Ovis aries: one gene and its partners. The protein of the gene in region 2 interacts with the protein of the main gene of each other region in a biochemical or structural test. Links are inferred from orthologs where the notes say so. Each region holds a gene or a part of one and is shown on either strand. Other genes may lie near its edges.

Region 1 (7,474 bases), about 17 Mb from region 2:
GGAAAACTGCACAAAGAACTTCATTTCTAAGGAACGTATGAGAGCCATCCTAGATCTTCCACTTCTAAGGACACACTGGGTGCTTCAGGGGGCTAATGGGTGCTGGGAAAAGAGGGGGAGAATATGCGTTTCAGGGCCGTGGGAACTAAGGCTGCCCCGGGGAAAGGAAGGGAATTGAGGCATAAGTGGAAGAACCTAAGCTCAGTCCTTCAGAATCTCAGCGTCATGGATTTCTCAGCTGCTCTGGGACAGAAAGCAGTCTACAAGCCCAAAGGGTAGAACGGCTCCAATCCTAGTTCACTATGGCCTCTCCTATCTTGTTTCCCCCAATTTCCCCAAAATTCTAAGGTAGAACAAGAAGGAATTTAGAGTTCTCTCTTGCCTTAATGGCTTCCCAAAGACATCCTAAAATACTTGATGAGGGACGTGGAGAGAGGCTAGAGATTTAGAAAGGACCAATGTCCTCTGTTGATGTGAGACAGTCGTGAGGGACCTTGAGTGCCAGTCATTCCCTGTCCACAGGAACAGGTGTTATGAGGGGCCACAGGTAGACCTCTGTGGTACAATTCCCTAGTGGTATGTGGATTAAACCACTGGCTGCATGGGGGATGAGTTTGGGGCAGTAAGCATGGTAAACTGAAGATACTAACAAAGGAGAAAAGAAATCGGGCCTGATGGGAGGTAGGGGGTCAGAACAGACTGTACAGTGGGAATAAAGATCATACCTATTTACAGGGAAGTAGAAAAGACATGGTAATGGGTGGATCAAATTCACTGGGAACCCTGGAAAAGCACAGAAAACTCCTCCCTCTGGCTGGACTCTTCTTCACTCCCCTACAGTGAGTGGCCTATGCTATCCTGAGACTGCTCTCCAGTTGCTCAGTTAATTTCCCAGGAAAGGTAAACCTATACCCAAGAGTTAGGTTGGCAAGAATATAGGTGAAGTAAGAATTAGAGGAAGCTAGCAGTTGAGACTGGGCTTGACTAGCTGCCACCGGTATGGTTCTCTGCAGCCCCTCCTCAAATCTCATATACACATTGGATTCCACTTAATTAAAAAGAGGGCAAGTAAATCAACCAAACCACCCATTAAACAAGTATCACAACTGAACTACCATCAATTAAAGTGCAAACTGCAGGGGGATATGGTGGCTGGGGCTGAGGCCATCTGAAGGCCAGAGAGAAAAAAATGCCTAAGTCAGAGGATGGGTATCAGAAACTGGTCCCTCCTCCATTTAGATCACAGCAGAGCCAAAGAGGCAGGCAACCAGTGAAGATTCTTTGGAGGACTCTGGGGTCCAGAATCTCCCCCATTATGGGGGAGAAGCTACTAAGAAGCTGGGTGAGGGGGAAATAGGCCTTGGAAGAGTTCTATGAGCCACAGATGACACTGCCTCTCCACCCCTTCCACTTCTGCCCAGTCAGCCAATAGCAAGACTCCAACCTGGTGCCCGGGAGCTGGCCGTCCCATTCCCACCTCTACCTAGAAAAACCCTCCACAAGGCCAACTCATGGACGCTGCAGTGCTTTCAAATATGAGAAACTCCAACCAAACAAAACCAAAAAGGCAATGTTTCCTTACTCTCCCCTGCTCTGAGCCTTACTTTTCCCCCAAGGCCCTTAATGTGACTGAACTGGAAACCTTCCTCAGTTCCTGAGTTCACCACCTTCTCCATCCTGGGGAGAGGAGGAAAAGGAGATCAAGAACAGAAACTGACCAAAAGCAGAAGGGGAAGGGGCAGGAGACCAAAAAAAAAATTTTCTGAAAAAATGGGCAGGAGGAGGAGGAGGAAAGATGAGTACGTCACTGTCTTGCACCCATAATACAAAGTGAAGAAAGTTTGTTTTGGAAGGTAAGTCCTCGGGGATCAGACCCCCAAGCCCCAGAGTAGGGGTAGGAGGCCAGTGGCAACAGCTGCCTGGTGTTGTTGCTGAAGCGTTAAAAAGTGCCATGACGGAGCTGTCAAGAGGCAGCCCTTGGGAGCCAGGGCTCAGTGTGCTGTTACCGTAGGGGCTGTGTGCTGAGGGGTGGGGATGGAGGTTATTTCTTAGCTCTCGTGCTAGCTCCATACTTGTTTGCTGCTAGCCAACCCCTCAGTTGCTACAACACTGGCTCTTGTTCTGCTGGGACTGCTCGTGAAGATCCACACCTCGGCTTCGGCCTGCTGCACCCCCTAGATTCTGGGGTTCACTCTTTGGCAACTTCTTAGCTAGAGATAAAAACAGAAGGGAACAAAGTATGGTAGATTTTACTCATCTCCCCAAAAAAGACTATTGGGGGAAAGGGGAAATGTGAGAGACTAAAAGAATGTTCTCAAGAGGGGAGGGTTCATTGCAAACAACATTGAAGATGAGGGGGCTCAAGCTGCAACGAAAGGATGGAGGTCACAATGGAAAGTTACAGTATATTAACACCTAAAGTTTTCATAAAGGGAGACACTCCCATTTATCCTTATGACCTGGGTTAGTAATCTTGCCTAGAGGCAAGGGAAAAACAACAGGAAGACCTCAGGCTGCTCTGACCTTACCTATTGCCAGGAAGAGATCGTTCACGTTCATAGCTGTCTTGGCGGAAGTCTCCATAAACAATAAGCTGTTGTCATCTGCATACGCCTGGGCCTCCTGTAAGGGGTGGGGTATACTGGTACTCAGACTGTAGGGCAGGGACAAAGTACAGCCTTTCCACTCCCATGTAGCACTGGAGCTAGGCAACATCCTAGGTTCCCTCCCCTCTGAGCCAGCTGCCCCTGGACCCATAATTTGGTGATGACTCCCTCAGGGAATATCCCATGGTCTCTACCACTTAATCCAACAAACAGATGTCAGGAAACTTAATTACAGGGAAGAAGGTAAGTTGGTTAGGGGCTTTTGGGTTCTGACACTTGAGTCCCTTACCTCAAATTCAATTGCTCCCTCCTTCCTCTTTTCACACTGGTACCCCCACAGCTGGTACTGGTACTCCCCTACCCCTCTGCTCTGGAATTTTCTTCTGACTCCTCTAAAATCTCCTGGCTGGCATTAGGGTCACAGTGCTGCTGTATTTAACTTGGTGAAGAACTGGGGAATGAGATGATGAATGTCCTCAGATGAGGTTTTCAGAGAGGGCAGGTTTGGAAAAAAGAGGTCCCAAGCATAGAGGGAGTGTGTCAGGAAGGACTTGGTGGCCAGCTTACTTCATACTCCACCATGCGCTTGTTGGCCAGGTCGGCTTTGTTCCCTGCCAGGGCAATAACGATGCTAGGACTGGCCTGTCGCTGTAGTTCTTTTACCCATGTCTTCGCTCGGGCGAAGGTTTCCTAGGAAAACACAAGGATGAGAATGGGTAGGCTAGAAAGACTGCCAATCTAGGGCTATCACCTTCAAAGTCCAATCTCAAAACTCACCTCTTCTAAGCAGCCGTTACTCACTGAAACCATCTGTTTCTGGTAATTCATTACCTCTGTCTTCTCAACACTTGGAAGCATAATTTGTATTCTTATTTTGCTATTTCAAGAACCGGTTTTCTCTCCCCCACCTAATTTAATTCCTATAAATAAAAGCAAGGACAATCTTCTCAGCCCACTTACCTGATTAGTAATGTCATAAACCACAATGGCAGCTTGGGCACCTCTGTAGTACATGGGGGCCAAGCTATGGTATCGCTCCTGCCCAGCTGTGTCCCAGATCTCAAACTTGACTGTCGTGTCATCTAGACAAACAGACTGGGTAAGGAAGGCCGCTATGAATGAGAGAACAGAGGAAAGTTGGTGTAAGTGGGAGAATGCACTGGAACATCCCACCTTCCTTCAAAATATCTCCACTGTCAGTCTAAGACCAGTCACTACCCAGGCCGTTCAGCTACAGGAAAAGGTTTAGCATTCTCCTCCTTATACCCTGGAAAGGTTTAGCATTTTCCTTCGGGTCCTGGCACCAGAATTAAGCCTGCTCTTGGCTAAATCCTTCCTGCGAGAAGTCTTTCCAGCTAAGGAATGGGGGCGCCATGGTAAACTCTGAGGGCTAGAAAGAACCAGCTTTAATACCAGAGTCAACACTTTTCTAACCAAAATAGATTAAGAGATAATGAGAGACAATAAGCTTCAGATAAAAGTCATATCAAGAACTGATTCGAAGATTTTAAAGCCTGATGTGAGGCCCCACCATTATATTATCTGGCTATTACTTTTTTATATCACTTCTGCTGGTCTAAGAATGTATTTCCAAGGTAAGTAATAAAAGTGGAGAAGGAGAAATGTGGGGAGTTCTCATGTTGAATTAGCACCCATTTCGGGATAGTGGTAGACAGAAGGTAGCCAAGGTAGCAAACGCATATTTATCTTTTGTATTTAGTTCTAACCTCTGCTTTACCAGGTGTGTGCATCAAAGATCTAAGGAGCTTTTCCAAACACACGTCTATACTGCCACCAATCTCACCCTCCTTCCGAAACTAATCAGCCAGTCTGAGGCAGGGCCCAGCATGCTCCCCAGGAGTTTCAGATGTACACCTCTGATTATGAGCCACTGCCCCAAATCACCCCTGCTCAAGATGAACCTCAACTGAACTTCACTGGCATTAAGATGAGAGCAGGAAGAGGAAAAGAGTCTGAGATTTTTTTTAAAAAGTGGTTTTTTGGTGCTCAAAGGCCAACCTTTCTAACTTTCTTCTAGGAAGAGGATGAACAGAGACCTGTTTTGGGGCATTTTGGCAATTTTTTTGTTTCATAAAAGATTTTCATTACAGGGAGCTAAGAGGGCCGGTGGCATAATCAGATCCCTAGATCTCCCTTCAATAGCCCTTCTAAACACTAATCTCTTCTCTCCCTGAAGTACTTACCTCCAATGGTGCTCTCCTGGTACTCGTGGAACTGCCCTTTGACAAAACGTAATACCAGGCTAGATTTCCCCACTGCAGATTCACCCAGCAGGACCAGTTTGAACTGGCATATTTTGCTGGCCTGGGGCTGCCCATTGGGCCTGGCTGTGCTTCTGCTAGTCATGGCTAGATTATCAGAGTGGGAAAGGGTGGAGGGAGGGGGATGCCACAAAGCGGCAGAGGGGGGAGGGGGAGGGGAGGGGACGTCCAGGCTTCAACAATTCTGCAAGAAAAAAAGCGGGTAAAATTAAACACAGGGCCATGACAACGGCATTCATGTTTTAAAAGAAAGGACAGAATCTCTTCATTTCTTTGCTCCAATCAGGACTTAAGTCTTATAATTATCCACCATTAAAAGCTTACACCACTGAGAGGGTCCCATGCACCTGGCACTCCGTGGTTAAGAGTGGGGATCAAGAAAATAAGATAGCATTTAGAGTAGAGTGTGCAACAACAGAGAGACTAAAAACCGTGTGAGAGTAGTCTCTAATCTCCCACTCATCCCCACCAGATCTTCAAGGAATAGCAAATCGATCAACATTTAGTTGGCCTAAAGAACACCCAGGTCCACCAGAAAGTACCCCAGATCACTACTATCTCTTTGGTGTCCTGGTGCTGTCCCTTTTTTACCCTCCCCTTTTTTCTAGCCTTCAAAATGAGAAATTCACTCTAGGGGTGTAGGTAACAGTCATCCCTCTAAAGAGCAAAGGGATAGCTTCTGGTTCTACATCGTTCATACATGACCACTTCCGAAAACTGACATTTCTGATAATCAAACCAGGATCCAACTACCAGAAAAATCTATCCTTTCTCATTTTTGCTCAAAGGTAACAGAGAAACAGACTACATTCACTGTTAACTCTTTCCCTTTGCTTCTGCCACCCCTCTGAGTCTGAAAATCTATCAAGTCTGAGTCAGTAGGCTTGATTTACTCTCAACTTGCAGCTCTCTTCTTGATGCCTAGGGATAAGACTACTCTCTACACTGAAAAGGCCTAACAGCTGTAGCCCTCCAAAGCAGAGAAAGAAGGTGTACCTTCTAAACACATGCAGGAAATCTCCAGAAGATGGCACAGGAATAAGTCTTCAAGCAATAAATACTCGATAAAACTGAACCACCTTCTCTACCTTCTAAGTGGCTAGGAAAGCTGGTGGTGCAGAGGAGACAGAGAGAAGTTGGGACTTTGAGTGTCCAATTATCCAAACCTGACTATATTTCATCATCCTGATTCTGAGGGGAAAAGAACTATGAAATTCAAAGAAGCGTTAGCATGATCAGAACATGCAAAACCACCTCATCCCAAAACTAAGCACTGCTTGGATTGTACTTTGCTGGTTCAAACTGATGTTTCCCTTCTCCAAGGCTGATTCTAGTGACTCTATAAACATCATATTCTGTGACATATATAGTGAAAAAATAATTACTTTGGGATCAAATCAGGGTTAAAAATATCTGCAATATTAGTAAACATGGAAAGGATAGAAAAGCCATACAGAAAGAAGCACAGAGGAACAAAAGCTGTGGAGTCCAGTTCACTGGATTCATTTTAGTTCTGCTTACTAGCTATGAACTTTTGGACAAACTACTAAATTTACCTGTGCATTTGTTTCCTCATCTATAAAATGGGATAACAGTCTATGAGCACCTACTTCAAAAGGTGTTGTGAGGACTAAATGCAATAATACATATAAAGAACATAAATATTTAACAAAAGGTACTATATCCATGAATATTAAGTGACTCATCATTATTAATATGACATCAAGAAAATTTCTCTTCCTGAGCCTTACCTTCTACCTTTATAAAATGGAAAAAATACCTATCCCATAGAATAGCCCTAAGGATTAAGTGAAACATGTGTTTAATATAGGGCTGATAAATAGTAAGACAGGTATTATTTAGTGGCCCTGATTCACAGAAATAATCAGTTTAATATATTAAAGGACATCTCAATATTAGTTGTTATCAATATAATCCTAAAGAGCAGCCATCATATGAAGGAGGTAGAGCAAAAAAAGAAAAAAAAAAGTAGAAGAAGTTAACAGGGAAATGAGATAGAAATGAGAAAGCCCAGAAAAGTCTCAGCTAGACTAGATTAAGACAGAGGACTGTATAAAATTACTCTGATCCTACTGGGTATTTTGTAGTCCCCCAGGTCAATGAGTCCTAAGAATTCAGATATACATGTGCCACTTTGTGATGAATTTTTCACTGGTTTATGATGAAATGATTAAAATAAAAATGATACAGCAAGTTTTTCACAAAGCTAAATTTATTCAATTTAAGAGTATCCTTTATAACACGATTTCTAACTTCTTAGTATCAATTTTCTCTCAAAGGTAAAATATGTATTTATTGCATGGATAAGCCTCTAAGACCTACAGTTCAATTTAAAAAAAAGCAAAACACTTGGCTGATTCTATTTCTATAAACAAAGCAAAATTCTACAAATAAAATGGTATGGAAAGATACATGCTCATCTGTTAACAGTGGTTACTTCCCTCTAGGGAGAATGAGACTAAGGAAAATGGTATGTAAAGAACTCAAGATATTTTTATTCTACATAAATCTTTTTTTATTAACAGGAAATATACACATATATATTTAAAGTTTCCTACATAACTT
Region 2 (8,274 bases):
TCTCTTATGACATAATATATGATTCAACATCAGTACACATGATGATCTTTCCAAAAGAAAAAAAATCAGCTACCTATTAAAGAATTTTGTCAATATTCTTTTAAATGTAAATCCTATACAAGGGTCAGACACATTTTCACCAACTCTACTGCAGAACTTTGAAAAAATATGTAATAAACAAACCTGATTCATTTAGAAAGTGAACTGCATGAGGAAGCTCATTTTCATCTAACTGCAGCTGATGTTCTCTCACAAGTTGTAATAATCGTTTCCGGTCAATTACAGGAAATTCAATTGGCACATTTTTACGCTCTGATAAAATGATTTTCTCAAGTTCTACATAGCAGTCTGGAATCAGCTGCCCAACAACAGGCTGATCTCGGATCTATGAAATTACAGATGACAAGCTGTAAAAATCCATTTTATGCATCTGTGTGTCAGGTGGTTGGTAAATTCTGCGCTAATCATTCAGAAAATGATTATTTTTAATAAAATCAAGATGCAATGTAAAACTAATTAAATCATGAGAAATAAATAAGATTACCTTAAAATAAGAAAAAAAAAGTGAACACAGAAGCCAATTTGGAAAGAACTATCAAATAACATTGTATGGAAATAATTATCAAGGTATTCAGAAAATCCATGGCGAAATCCAGGACAAATCATTAACCTTAAATAAAGGACCTACTATTTTCTAAGACATTAAATCTACAGGTAACAGATATGCTAACATAAAAGTCAGGATTGTAAGAGCTTTTGGACTTTATTTTTTAGATGAAACTATCCACATCCCAAAGTAAAACTACATTTTCTTCTTGCTATTTGCAAAATGTAATATTAGTGGGATGTACATTTCAACAGTGAAGTCTGGAGACAGACATGAAATTTCCTCATTAAGCTATGCTTTTTCATGGAGACTTGAACTTGGAAAAATAAAAAATCATCTAAACCCAATGATTCTATACGAGAGGATGATTTGGGGTCTCTTACACTTAGAATCTAATTAAAATCAAAATTTTAATAGTATGATCTTATATGAAAGTTTCTGTAATAAAAATATTTCCAAACATTTTTTCTTCTTAAAAATCTAATTTTAAATAGAAATACAACTTTAATAATAGTAAATGCCTTTGCAAACCACCAGGTGGCAAACTCTCCTCATTTCTCAACCCATGAATATATTCTTGACAATAAAGAATAAAATTTCTACTTGAACTCTTCAACTTATTACAAATAGAAATTGGGTTTATTATACCTGCACACACACACACACAAACTTTATACTTGTTCTTTTTCTACTCTTAACTTGATCCTTCAGGAGCCTAATTTATAGCAGCCGTAACCATTACTTACATATTTACTTCCAAACAATCAGGATTGTTTTGAGGTACCCCTTGAACCAGAAAATTAAATATAATTTCACTAACCTCCACTTTTCATATTCCCTCTCTTCATCATTTATAAATTAAGATAAAACAGAACTTCAGATTGAAGTCTGCGTTTAACCCAAGAAGGGAAACCTACATATAAAAGTAAACAAGTTCACACAGTAGTCAAGAAACAAAGGGATGGACTTTACAGAGCTAGATTACAGGGTGAGCAAAGGATCCCACTCTGCTAAGGGGCTGGACAAGCCTGAGAGGGACATTGTTGGCACTGATTTCTATTTTGTCCTACTTCCTTTAACCTTTATCATCGGGTCACCGACAGTCAAAAACAGAAAGCTTTTATTCTAAACTCTGCATGGACACATGTTAATAAGAGTGAGACACACAAAGATTAGAAAAGATCAAGATAAAAGGAAAAGATGAAAAACAAATGAAAGACCAAACAAAAAAGATTTCTAACAGCTTAAAAGCTGCTGACTGAATACAGGTTGAGGCACCTCAGGAAGGAAAGAATATTCAAGTTCTGGCAGGCTTATTGTTCTGGGGTCATCTGAATCACTATTCTGCAAAGCAGCCAATTGAATTTTCAAACCAATATAACAGAATGATGCATGCATTTGCAATATATACCTTCCTTCAAATAATAATGCCATTTCTCAAAGCATTTGTTTTTAACCTCCTCATCCGGTATTGCCTTCAGAGTTCACGTACAAGCGCAGAAAACAGACTGGTCTTATCACCAGTAAACTGGTCTAACTTGCTGTTAGCCTAAAGTAGTACCAGTCCAGCTTGATGAATCAACTACTCTTTTCATAGACTTCCTCAACTAAATCCAGATTTTCTCAAAACAAACTCATACTTTAAGAATTCTTTTTTAAAATATGATAAATGGTCTGATATCAATGATAAGAGAGAAGCTATTAAAATATTATAAGTAACAGCAAAGTTCTGTAAGTATAGATATAGTCTCAAAAGGAAATTCCCTGGGTAAAGAGGATATTTAATTGAATATATTAATTTGGTGCATTTGTTTCTTAAAAGTCATATCACTCTTTAATCATATGTCTCACAAAAGAGTAGCAAAAACTAGAGATAAATGATACTTTATTCTTCTAACATAAAATTTCCATTGACCCACATTTGTAAAAGCTTTTATTGATTGTGATAAATGTGTGGAAAGATATAAATGTGCAAATTCTCTCTCTGAGCACCACAAAGACTGGCACACTTATAAATGGCTCATTAAGTTTTAGACAGAGCATAATCTGTGGAAATGGAACAGAACTAAGCTAACTGGATAATGTGTTATAACCAAGGTGACCGTGTAATTTATCATCCAAACTGGAATGCTTCTGAGAATGTAGTGAGACACAATTAATAATTACACTGGGACTGTCCAGGCAAAACAAGACCCTTGTTAGAAGCCACAGCTTTGATCGTTAGTACTAATGAGCTAAACCAATAGAGACTAACGGTGAAATCCACTATTGTGTTTGTCATATGGAACTATTCAAAGTGTTTTTCAGTACAGTTTACCCCTTGCTATCTGTAGAGCCCAGGTAAAATTTCTTTCTCTTTTGTATTAAAAACAAGCATTTGTTAACCAATTTATTTGTGTTTTATGAACTCTATGAACTCTATTTGTCTTACCAGAAAGAAAAACTTTGTAAATCAAAAACATAACTCTTGACATAAAGTTTGTATGAACTAGAATATTGCTTACACATTGTTGAAAACCAAATTAGTGACCGTGGTGACCAGATGGAAGAGCCTTCTCTCAATATTGAAGGAAAAAAAATATTTGAAAGGGGGAATCACAGTGACAAAGACATGAAGGAACAACAAAGACCAAGACGAGCATAAAACAGAAACTCCAAAAGGAGCAGATGGAGAAAAAACAGTCAAAGAAAAATACAAGAAAGATCACTCCAAGACCCCAACATCCATCGTTATCCTTTTGACTGAATCACTACTATAGGATGTTGGGAGAGAAAGGGCATCAAAAACATGTCCCCAGATTCTCTCAGGAACATTCTCTCAGCCTCTCAGATATCCTTTTAGTTTCTCTCAGGATCCTCAATTATTTCTAATTCCCAATTCTGTGAGTTCAAAATTAAGTCTAACATAAATAATTTTAAAATTAAAAGTACTTGAATAATGCTAACAGCTAAGAAAACCCCATACTTTTAAGATAGTTATTCTTTTCTCAAGACTGCTGACATTTCTTAGCAGTTGCAGAATGTAACAGTTAATAAATTATATTTATCTACCACCTAGGGTAGGCAATGAACCATGTTACCTTGAAATTAAGGCTCTCATTGATGATGGTTTTCCGAAGTTTTGCCAAAGCATCAGATTCCTCAGTGGCATTCACAAAGTGGTAATCTCGTATTGCAGGAAATCCTCGTTTGTTCAAGAGTTCCTTGGTAATTTTACTGATACAGGCTTTGCGCTGCTTCTCATCAGTAACATCTAAATGTGTACCAACAAGAATCACAGGAGAAGAAGAAGCACGGGCCTATGGGGGAAGACACAAAACACTCTTGTGTTTGTTTTAAAAATCAAGACTGCTTATATTTCCACTGATATTCACTTTCTATGAAATTCACTAGAATCGAAATGAGAATTCAAAAGACTTCAAGAAGAAAATGACAACTGTCTTCCCTTCCTTAAACCTAAGGGAACAAATTAAACTTAAGAAATTTTTAAAAGTCATTTTTATGCTCCTTCTTAATCTAGTTATTGTCACTTTTCAGGTGGTCCATGTGACAGTAATAACACATTTCTTTCCTCTCTGCCTAAAATGGGTTATTCTTTAAGTGTGCTTTGGGCTTCTAGATAAAATAATATTTAATAACACCCAAATAATATCAGAGTAATACAATTTGTTTTATATTTTCTCTTCCTTATCTGTGAATTAAAGCTCATTAATTCATATTATAGTAATTCAGTGTGGCTTCTACAAAGAAAAAACAAGTCACTAAAGTAATAAAGCATTTGGACAGTAATTTGAAGTAGAGGATTTATTTGGCAAAAACAGAACTATGTTCAGCGAGTGGAACTGAACATTATCTTTCATGCAAAGTTAAAAGCACATTGTATTTCCATCCTGACCACTTGCCCAGTCCCCATCTCTTTGAGAGAGAAAAACTTCATCTAAATTATTTCATCTGATTGATGACTGTCATTTATAACTTTATTGCTACTTCTGTCTTAGGTATTCCTTTGGAAAAGGTGTATGGATTCATTACATATTCTAATGTATTGTCTATAGATTATAAGATAAAGTCAAGCGTGTATCCACTGATACTTTTTAAGTTGGCCTGTCTTTATACTTAGAAATGTCTCTTAATAGTAGGCTTCCCTGGTGGCTCAGATTTGCCTCACAGAAGAGCCTACTAGAGCATTATTCAATGACCATTCATTTTTACTTTAGTATCAATTATAAAAAGGCACAGATTTTTAAAACCATATATACATGAAGGAATATCTAACAGCAAGAGACAAAATGGAAAAGTTGCAAAATTTCAAATATATAATATTCATCTGGGACCATTTAAAACTGTAAGTCCCACAGGGCTTTATACTAAATTGCCTCTGAGGACACAGTTGGTAATGCATAGATTGCTTCTTTTTCTTACTACAGTTTATTTTAAATTAAGGAAATTCATATTATACATAAGTAATAATACCAGGGAGCTCCCTGATACCCTCGTGGTTAGGATTTTGGGGCTTTCACTGCCATGGTCCAAGTACAATCCCTGGTCAGAGAACTTAGATCTTGCAAGCCACACAGTGCAGCCAATAAATAAATAAAATAAAATAAAAAAGAATATAAAAATAGCCTAACATATATTCTCATTTTTAATAGATTAAAAAAGCTTCAAGTTTCTATACCTTTCATTAACATAGAACATACTATTTTCATGTCACAACTTAATTACTCCTAAAAATTTCCTAACTCAAAGTTTAAGTGCTTCTAACTTTCTTGCAAAAAAGTATTTGAAAAGTCTGCTTGATGGTACTATTTGCCCCAAATAAATCACCTTATATAGAATAAGAAAACTCATGAAATATTTTCTATTCTCAAATTATTAGATCATATCACCTTTATATTGAAAAGCCAAGGCTTCATGGCATCAACTTCTGCTTGTCCTTTGCTGAGGTCATAGACCGCAAGATACAAGGCTCGTTGGGTCATAAAGTGGGGATGAGTGCTGTAGAATTCCTCACGACCTAAATAAAGATTGGAGAACTTTTCAGTCTTCCAGAGAATAGACAAGAATTCTCTTCTTCAAAAATAAAGTTAGGTGGCACTACCCACTATATACCATACAAAAAAAAAAAGAGAGAGAGAGAAACAATCAAAAGATAATAGCTACAAGATTACACTGGGTTTTTACTAGGGATTGACAACTTCTTGCTAATGTGTCAGCTATGTAGCTTCAGCTGACACGTGCTGGTTCCTAACATTTCCTTCCATTGCTTCTTCATTCTGGGGGCAAGGGAAGAATTAGGAGAAATAAATGACTTTGGAATAATTCCATATGATCCATCAGGTCTCTGTAGTATTGGAACAGAAAATCCAGTTTTTAAATCCGTTTTTAAAAAGATATCTGAATAAAAAATTTTAGCAAAATAAATACCTGCAAAATCCCATACATTCAGAATGAGGTCTTTCTTCCCTTTGCCTCTTATTTGGATGGGCCAGTCTTTCACATCAATGCCAACTGTGGCACCTTGCATCCCAAGATCTGATTTCTTGATTTTCATTAATTGCTGCAATAAGGTGGTCTTGCCACTCCCAGTATTTCCCACAATCATAAGTTTCATTCGGTTATAGGGCACAGCCTTTTTCAACCGCTGCTGAAGAAACCTGGTATTTGAAAAACAAAAATAAAATAATAAACTGCTTAACAGTGTACTTAGGCTATAGGTGAATTCTTATGCACTGAATTATTTTAAATATCAAAATGTCATAATGTACAGTATGCAAAAGAGCACATAACTCATACTAACTTAATAATGCATGTGTCTTTCAATGCATTGTTAATATATCTACTTTGCTAGTGATGTTGGTTGGTCTAGCTGATAATGATCGGAAGCCTATCGGAAGCCTCATCAAATATAATGACACGAGAAAGAATCAAAGTATCAAAATATTTGTAATACTCATTAAAATTTTATATAAAACACATACAAAATTTCTTTAAATATCACAAATAAAACTCTAAAAATTATAAAGCCTAAAATTTTACAAAGCCCATAGGATAAAGAATCAAGGTAGATCTATGTTTAGTTTTTTAAAGAACCTCCATAATGTTCTCCACAGTGATTATACCAATTTGCATTCCCACTAACAGTGTAAGAGGGTTTCCTTTTATCCACACCCTCTCCAGCATTTATTGCTTATAGATTTTTTGATGATGGCCATTCTGGCTGATGCGAGGTGATACCTCATTGTAGTTTTGATTTGCATTCTCTAAGAATTAGTGATACTGACCATCTTTTCATATGCCTTATGGCCATCTGTATGTCTTCTTTGTAGAGATGTCTATTTAGGTCTTTCACCTGTTTTTTATTGGATTGTTTGATTTTTTTGATATTGAGCTCCATAGGCTGTTTGTATATTTTAAAGGTTAATCCTTTGTCTGTTGCTTCATTTGCAAATATTTTCTCCCATCCTGAGAGTTGTCTTCTCATCTTGTTTATGGTTTCCTTTGCTGTGCAAAAGTTTTTATGCTTAATTAGGTGCCAATTATTTGTTTTTATTGTCATTATTTTACGGGATAAGTCAAAAAAAGATCTTGCTGTGATTTATGTCAAAGAGTATTTTTCCTGTTTTCCTCTAAGCGTTTTACAGTTTCCAGTCTTTAATCCATTTTGAGTTTTTTTTTTATATGATATGAGGTAGAATTCTAATTTCATTCTTTTACATGTAACTGTCCAGATTCCCCAGCACCACTTACTGAAGAGGCTGTCTTTTCTCTTGCCTCCTTTGTTATAGATTAGGTGACCATAAATATGTGGGTTTATCTCAGGGCTTTCCATCCTGTACTGCTGGTCTATATTTCTATTTTTTGTGCCAGTACTATACTACAGTGTTTTGATTAATATAGCTTTGTAGTATAGTTTGAAGACAGGGAACCTGATTCCTGCTGCCCCATTTATCTTTTACAAGATGACTTTAGCTTTTCAAGGTCTTTTGTGTTTCCATACAAACTATAAAATTTTTGTTCTAATTCTGTGAGGAATGCCATTGGTGGCCATTTGATAGGGATTGCACTGAATCTGTAGATTGCTTTGTGTAGTACATTAATTTTCTATCAATTCTATCAATCCTTTCTCTATCAATTCTTCCAATAGAAGAACATGGTATATTTTTCCATCAGTTTGCATCCTCTTTGATTTCTTTCATCAGTGTCTTTTCAGTTTTCTGAGTATAGTTCTTTTGCTTCCTTAGGTAGATTTATTCCTAGGTAATTCTTTTCTTGTGATGGTAAATGTGATTACTTTCTAAATTTCTCTTTTTACTCTTTTGTTGCTAGTGTATAGGAATGCAAGAGATTTCTGTGCATTAATTTTGTATCCTGAAACTTTACCAAGTTCATTGATAACGTCCCAGCAGTTTTCTGGTAGAATCTTTTGGATTCTCTGTATATAGTAACATGTCATCTGCAAACAGTTTTAGTTCTTCCTTTTCAATTTATATTCCTTTTATTTTTTTTCTTCTCTAATTGCCATGGTGAGGGCTTACCAAACTATGTTGAATAAGTGGTGAGACTGGACATCCTTGTCTTGTTCCTGATGTTAGGGGAAATGCTTTCAATTTTTCATCACTGAGAATGATGCTTGCTGTGAGTCTGTTATACACAGCCTTTATTAT
Region 3 (7,474 bases), on a different chromosome or scaffold from region 2:
GCGATGGCCAATACTGGGTGAGTTTTTATCATATTCTCTAAAATTCTCAGTAGCTAATCGCACCGCTCTCCTTGGCAACAGGGCAGTTCACATTCAAGGAGGTCTAATCCACAGCTCCCATCCCCTGATGTCCTCAGACATGATACTGAGCAGCTCCTTACACAATCTGCTATCCAATCCCAAGGAAAGCCCCTCCTCTGTTCTCTCGCCTGACTCAATTTCATCCAGTGGCGTGAAAACAGAAATTAATAAAACTCAGGTGAAAGAGATAAAATTGATAGCCAAGGCAGCCGCATGGACACTTACCTCGGTGAATGACAGACAGCTTACTGTGTAAATGCTCTAAGGCTTTTACAATCTGCAAGAGAAACACGAGGTGGATTTATGCCCCCCATCCCTGGAAAGCAACTGCATCTTAAGTAAATCCCCATTTATTATCCCTGGCTTATAGTCCCAAGGGGAGGTATTTTCTCCAAAAGTGGTGTTCCTAGCCAGGAAAATACACTGGAAGTCGTACAAATTAGAGCCTGCCCAGCAGAGAGATGACGTCAGAGCGCAGAGAGGCAGCCTCACTGGTATGTTCTGATTCTCTACCTTGACCCCCAGCGTCTCTTCCTCTCCCCTATCCTGGGCCTCGGTAGCTGTGAAGGGAGCAGCGTCCTCTTCTGCCTGCTCCCTTCTGTGCCTATTAACCCTAAGGAAACATTTACAACTCCACAAACGAAAATCAAGACAAACCAGTATCAGAACATGGACACCAGGAACGTGGTCCTAGCCGATGAACGTGCTGCTCAGAGGCATTTCAGCTGAAAGCCTCCCAGGCCGAGTCAGGAGCAGAACTTCGTGTAGGTCAAGCCCAGAAAGAGAAGCATCCATCGATCCATCCACTTACACACCCGTGCAATCAACACACACAGATGGGATGGGCGCTCCGGTCCAGGTGGTGTTTCCCCATACGGAGGGAACAGCGAAACACGAGGCCCAGACCCCCCGCGCTCCTTGGACAGGGCTGGGGCTCGCGATGTACTCACAGAAACTGCTATTTTCCCTAAGATGTCCTCTGGAATTGTTTGGCCTTTATCGATCACTTGCTTGTAGAATTTATCTAGGGACGTGTCCATGAGCTCCATGCAGATCCAGACATCCCCCTGGAGGCCGGTTGGTTCCGAGACAGTCAGTGAGGATGGAAAGGCGAGAGGAGGAAGCAGTTAGCATCTGTCAGGAGGACGGGCCACTCCCTGCGTGAGCTTTTGAAGGAAATGCACACTGTCCTTCAAGATCTCAATGAAATCTATAAATGGGCAATATTACCTCCAAACAGCAAGCTAGCAGACAGCCAAACAGATCTGCCTGTGATCACCCACTCCTTCATGAAAACTAGGTTCTAAATGCTTACACCCACAAGCAACAGGCTCCCAAGCCTTTACCGTTACTGTTATCTAAGACAGCAGTCTCCAGGCTTTTTGGCATCAGGGACCAGTTCCGTGGAAGATAATTTGTCCGTGGACCAGAGCAGGGTGGGGGAGCACGGTTTCAGGATGATTCAAGCGCATTACATGTATCATGCGTTTTGCTTCTATTACTGGTGCCTCAGCTCCACCTTGGAACGTCGGGCATTAAGTCCTGGAGGTGGGCGACCCCTGCTCTGGGAGTTACGACCAGATACCAACTCTATGCCTGACTTCCCACACTGACCACGGGCAACAGCTTATCATTTAAAGCTGGTTATAAGAGGGAGATGAAAACAGGTAATAATAAGGACCTATGTATAGCACAGGAAACTCTACTCAAACACTCTGTAATGGGCTGTATGGGGAAATATCTTAAAAAGTGTGAGTATATATATATATATATGTATATATATATATATATGTACATGGAGCTGATTCACTGTTAGCAGAAACTAACAGCACTGTAAATCAAGTATACCCTAATAAAAAAGTGCTTAGAAAGGGGAGGGGACAACAACACATATCATCGTCAAGTGAGAAGGAGAATCAGAAAAAAGAAGCAGATATGAGGCCAATCCACTGCACAAGCCTGCCTGGAGCTTATCAAGAGGCCAAAAGACCAGAGTATTTGAGATTTCAAGGGACTGACATAAATACACCTATAGGTTGATAGAGACCGCTCTGCCGAAAGAGACAAACCAGAACAGGAAGGAGAAAGGGAACCCCAGCATTTTGAAAGGGCTAAACACATTGGAAAATACCATGGTTTCCAGCTAACTTTGCACCAACATTTCACGAGCATGAAACTCTCCACAGAAGACACGTCGGACAAGGAAGCGCCCTGTGACTGCTGGTGTTTGTGAGATTGGGGGGACGTCTTTCTCAGTCACCGCTTGCCTTGCAGCTTTGAAGGTACTACCACCTACCTCGCGAAAGAGTGCGCCGTAAAAGGTGACCGTGAAGGGGCAGTCCACGGTCCTCATGGAGATGTCCAGATCCATCAGCAGCCGCTTCTGCTCTTGGCTGTTGACCGTGGCCCGGATCCGCTGATCGGAAGGCATGGAAAATGGATGGTTACTGCCCTGAGGGTGGGTCTGTCGACAAGGCAGGGACCTCAAAGGATCCCCTCCCGAGAACAGTAGGAAAATTCACAGCACAGCTTCTAGCAACAACTGTTCAAATACCTACCCTAAAGGATTACCTATCTGTAACAAATGAAAAGTAAGGAAGACTGCTATTCATTTCATTTACCGAATAATCCCCAGGAGAGAAGCCAACTGGTCATCTACGGTGGAGAGTGCGCAAATGTTTGGGAAGACATTCCCAAGTTACAAAACAGTCTGACTTATCGTGTGGGTTTAGTGTAAAGAGGCCAGAGTATTCATTGATGTGGGGCTGATTTGGGCTCATACAAGGAAAAAAAAAAAGCCAAAATTCCCTCTTTATGAACAGGTAAAAAAATCTGGACCCTAAACAGAAACTGCAGAAGAGTTAGTTGACTGAGGAATGGGATAAGGAGGAGCTGAACTGAGATGGAGACACAGTTCATGTCTAAGAGAAGACAGACTAACCACACCAGTAAGGGCAGCCCCACAGACAACACGGCTGTGTCATTAAACGACAACATAGTATCATGAGGCTTTCACATTTTTTGCCTGTGGAGCAAAGAGTCTGCAGGAGATGAAACTGAAAAATCTACAAGGTAAGGGAAAGATGTCAGCATTCTCCAAAAAAAAAAAAAAAAAAAAGGAATCCAGGCCATCTGACCATCCACATGCCTGACAACCCAGCTAGAACACACTGGGCCCGCTCCAAGGTCCTCCCAACATCCACTCAAGAAATATGCGACGATTCTAAATTTCTTTTTATAGCTCCAAAACTATGCAAATTCGCTCAAGATGACTTTACCCTCCTCTGTTTCCACAAATGGAGGCAATTTTGTCTCTCAGTTTGGGTTTCCTGATTTTCAGGGACAGATTCTTTAAAAGCAACAGAATAAAGCTTAAAAAGAGACTCGTAAGACAGAAAACCAAATGCCACGTGCAAGCTCGCATTTGGGTGCCGACTTGAAAACCCAACAGGAGAAAAGACAGTGACAGCTTTGGAACGCTCAAGGCGACGTTCGTTCGGACCTGGCGGTGGATGAGAGTGAGCAAGCACTGCTGGTTCTCTTACGTGTGATGATGCGGCTGGTGGTCGTGGCGGTTTAGCCACCAGGTCAAGTCTGACTCTTGTGACCCCCATGGGCTGTATGGCCCACCAGGCTCCTCTGTCCATGGAATTCTCCAGGCAAGAATACTGGCGGGAGTAGCCGTTCCGTTCTCTAGGGGATTTTCCCGACCCACGCGTCCCGCATCGCAAGCGCAAGCCACCAGGGAAGCGCGATGCGGTCGTCGCACAAAACAATTAAAAACAGGGGGTAGGGTTCAGCAGTCCAAAAGCCAGGTGCTGCTGTTTATTCCAAGGAGGCGCTTGGACATATTTGGAGGGAAATATCGTTCGCCACAAATAGGCTTTTCTGTCTCCCCCCACAGAGGACTGTCCCGCTTCTGTGAAAGAAGCCCGTGTGCAGCTGAGAGGGCCAAACATCCCGACCAGGACCGGCAAGTGTCTGGGGAACGCAAACGCTACCTTCACCGCCATGATCTGCCCGCTGGGCACATGCCGCATCCTCTCCACCACCCCGTACGCCCCCCGGCCCAGCTCCACGATGGGCTCCAGGTCATCCGCCTTCACCTCGAAGTTCTGCGGGAGAGAGAAGCAAGGGTACAACAGGAAGTTCAGCTCAGCTCAGTCACTCAGTCGTGTCCGACTCTTGGCGACCCCACGGACTGCAGCACGCCAGGCCTCCCTGTCCATCACCAACTCCTGGATACTCAAACTCACATCCATCAAGTTGGTGATGCCATCCAACCATCTCATCCTCTGTCACCCCCTTCTCCTCCCGCCTTCAATCTTTCCCAGCATTAGGGTCTTTTCCAAGTCAGTTCTTCGCATCAGGTGGCCAAACTATTGGAGTTTCAGCTTCAACATCAGTCCTGCCAATGAACACTCAGGACTGATCGCCTTTAGGATGGACTGGTTGGATCTCCCTGCAGTCCAAGGGACTCTCAAGAGTCTTCTCCAACACCACAGTTCAAAAGCATCCATTCTTTGGTGCTCAGCAATAGGAAAAAAGGAAAGAAACCAGACACAGGCTGCCCTGTCCTCCCTCTGGTTCCTCTGAGCAGTCCAAGGGTCCTTTCTGGTCGAGAACCTTCTGGTCTAGAAGCTTTGCCAAGCAGCCACTGAAAGCAAGAAGTGCCTGGGAGATGTGCAGATGCCCGCTGTGGGCCCCCCTTTATCCTGGGCAATACAGAGGTCCAGTTCCAGCTCAGGCGCTGAACGGCACAGGGAGCGCTGACCCCGCACAGCGGGTCTTCAGCTCCGGCCCTCGATGGCCCCTCAGGTCCCTTGCTGACTCCTGGCGACTAGCTCTAGGCCTGGACTTTGCAAAGCGCAGCCCAAAACAAACCATCTCTTTGCCTCAGAGACCTTCCATCAGAACCACAACAGCCCGATCCCGATTTGACATTTAAAACAGCAACTGCTCCACAGGCCACTTCTGTTTACATTCAAACGTTATTGACCCAACCCCTGACAGCATGTTATGGAAAATTCATTTTTTCCCACTGGCCAGTCACAAAGTATACATATAAAAGGGTCAAGACATTAACTGGAAGACACGACTTTTCTCACCTGATTTCCAATAGAAATGCAAGCTTTGGAGTCTAAATCCCGAGGTGGCCTGCAACAGAGAAAGGAAAAACATGAGATATTTAATCGAATGCGATCTTCCCAAAGCCTACGAGACTGGAGAGAGTTCTCCCTAAAAATAAGGTGAGAGCTCGTGAGTAAAATAAAGCAGCATCAAGAGGTTAATAGTGTGGGAATTGGAGAAAAACAGATGCTCTTAGAAACCAGTCTCTGAACCTCAATTTCTTCTCTATTACGAAGATATTCGTACACTTCCTCACAGAACAAGAGTGGCTGCTAAAGGAGATGTCCTAAGCAAAATGCTTATTAGCAGAATGACTGGCATACATTCAAAATATAAATATGCATATATATAAACTATATATGTAATAACATACATAATATATGTTTTATAAAATAATTATATATACTGTAATTACTTACACAGGGGCTTATTGGAATAGCCTAATTATTCACATAACAACACACACACACACGCACACACACACACGTCTATAGGCTTCCCAGCTGGCACTAGTGGTAAAGAATCCACCTGCAATTCGGAGACCTGGGTTCCATCCCTGGGTCAGGAAGATCCCCTGGAGGAAGGCGTGGCAACCCACTCCAGTGTTCTTGCCTGGAGAATCCCCGGGACAGAGGAGCCTCGTGGGTTACTGTGTATAATTCTACCTTTCCTACTGAAACTAACTAAATAAAACAATAATGAAAATGTATGAACATAAACACAGATAACACATCAATCTAAGGCTTTAATGGGAATCCTTCTGAAATGAATAGAAAATACAAACTAAGGTTTTTCTAAATTAATTTAAAACCCAGACTGAGAGGCAGGGATAAAGATGAACACACACACACAGGTGATGCTTTTATAAATCCCGTGTTTCTAAGCAGGGAATTTTTCTTCAGAAACGCCTTCCAGAGGAATTAAATTTTCTGAAAAATCTGATTTCTCACTCTTAAAACCTCTGAAGCTCTTTTCTTTAGTTGTCACGATCTGCTTGTACTAATTGCAACAGAAATTTGAAATAAAGGCAAATATTATTTGAAACATGTGACTAATATAAACAGTGAAAAACCCTTTGCAATTGTTCAGACCCTTCCTTTTGCAAAGAATGAAGCAACAGAAAAGGTCACTAGTTAATTATTCAGGGCCACCTCCAAGGGCACGCCATCCAGCGAGGCTGCTGGGTAAGACCTCTTCCAGATCTAATATCCTAGTATTCATACAAGGGCTCTGCATATCACAGTCAGTGCGTGCTGAGTCGCTTCAGTCGGGTCTGACTCTTCGAGATCCCGCGGACTGTAGCCCGCCAGACTCCTCTGTCCATGGGATTCTCCAGGCAAGAATGCTGGAGCGGGTTGCCATTTCCTCCTCCAGGGGATCTTTCCAAACCAGAGATCAAACCCAGGCCTCCTGCGGCTCCTGCATTGCAGGAGGATTCCTTATCGCTGAGCCACCAGGGAGGCCCATAAATTAGTCTGTGACCCAGCAATGGGTGGATTTTACACGTTTAAAGGGCTGTAAAAAACAAACAAGAAACGGTCTTCAGCAAGGCCATTGTGGCCCGGTAGCCCCAAATATTTACTATCTGGTCTTTGGCACAAAAAGTTGGCTGATTCCAGTTTTATTCTAACCTTGCATTATAACTCTACTAATAGGAGGGTTTCGTGCCATTTTCCAGAATGAGAAAAATGAAACCCAGAAAAACTCAGCGATATGCTGAACACACAGTCCTCACCAGGGCTGAAAATAAAACTCATGTCATCCGAGTCTCAGCCTTGACCTAAGGAGAAGGGGGTATAGACACTGAAAACTGGGTTAAGTGCTTTCCTTGCACTTCCTATCGTCCACACACACACACAGACACACACACACCCAGAAGAGTCATTATTCCCACATTCCAGATGAAAACCTGTTTGACTGAGACTTAAGCTATCTTGCTCCCGAGTGGTGAAGCTCTGATTCAATCCACATCCGACTGAATCCAAGGAACCTGCCCCATCCAGACCCCTTCTAGTGTAATTGATCACCAACCCCCACCACGAGGGCTTTGGGCTCAGCAAGGCGGCCAGAAGCATCAGATGAAGGCCTGAGGTGGACAGCTTGTCTTGGGTTAGTTGACACTGTAACTGGTCCAGGGCACACTCGTCTGTCTGGGGCACTGAGGTTTAAACCGTGGGAGGACATTCTGTGTTGCTTTTTCAATATTTCAGTCCTCCGGGACGAGAAGCAAACTCATTACAAAACTCCTAACTCTGTAAGGCCA

The links. The genes of interacting proteins can lie anywhere in the genome.
Region 1: of the proteins of LRRK2 (region 2) and RAB5B, one has a biochemical effect on the other in vitro, tested with the Homo sapiens proteins (2 studies listed by IntAct). The link is inferred for Ovis aries from reciprocal best matches to the Homo sapiens genes LRRK2 and RAB5B.
Region 3: of the proteins of LRRK2 (region 2) and MAP2K6, one has a biochemical effect on the other in vitro, tested with the Homo sapiens proteins (2 studies listed by BioGRID). The link is inferred for Ovis aries from reciprocal best matches to the Homo sapiens genes LRRK2 and MAP2K6.

Annotation. Positions count from the first base shown.
Region 1 is NC_056056.1:163,537,516-163,544,989, forward strand, and holds part of RAB5B (ras-related protein Rab-5B), read right to left. Parts: intron 5,997-7,474; exon of another isoform or gene 5,885-5,996; intron 5,073-5,884; 5' UTR 4,974-5,072; coding exon 4,811-4,973; exon of another isoform or gene 3,719-4,810; coding exon 3,567-3,718; exon of another isoform or gene 3,297-3,566; coding exon 3,174-3,296; exon of another isoform or gene 2,623-3,173; coding exon 2,529-2,622; exon of another isoform or gene 2,211-2,528; coding exon 2,095-2,210; 3' UTR 1-2,094. UniProt on the Homo sapiens protein: The small GTPases Rab are key regulators of intracellular membrane trafficking, from the formation of transport vesicles to their fusion with membranes.
Region 2 is NC_056056.1:146,908,897-146,917,170, forward strand, and holds part of LRRK2 (leucine-rich repeat serine/threonine-protein kinase 2), read right to left. Parts: intron 6,265-8,274; coding exon 6,035-6,264; intron 5,625-6,034; coding exon 5,497-5,624; intron 3,907-5,496; coding exon 3,688-3,906; intron 386-3,687; coding exon 184-385; intron 1-183. UniProt on the Homo sapiens protein: Serine/threonine-protein kinase which phosphorylates a broad range of proteins involved in multiple processes such as neuronal plasticity, innate immunity, autophagy, and vesicle trafficking.
Region 3 is NC_056064.1:60,331,691-60,339,164, forward strand, and holds part of MAP2K6 (dual specificity mitogen-activated protein kinase kinase 6), read right to left. Parts: intron 5,239-7,474; coding exon 5,190-5,238; intron 4,197-5,189; coding exon 4,083-4,196; intron 2,498-4,082; coding exon 2,378-2,497; intron 1,149-2,377; coding exon 1,032-1,148; intron 359-1,031; coding exon 307-358; intron 1-306. UniProt on the Homo sapiens protein: Dual specificity protein kinase which acts as an essential component of the MAP kinase signal transduction pathway.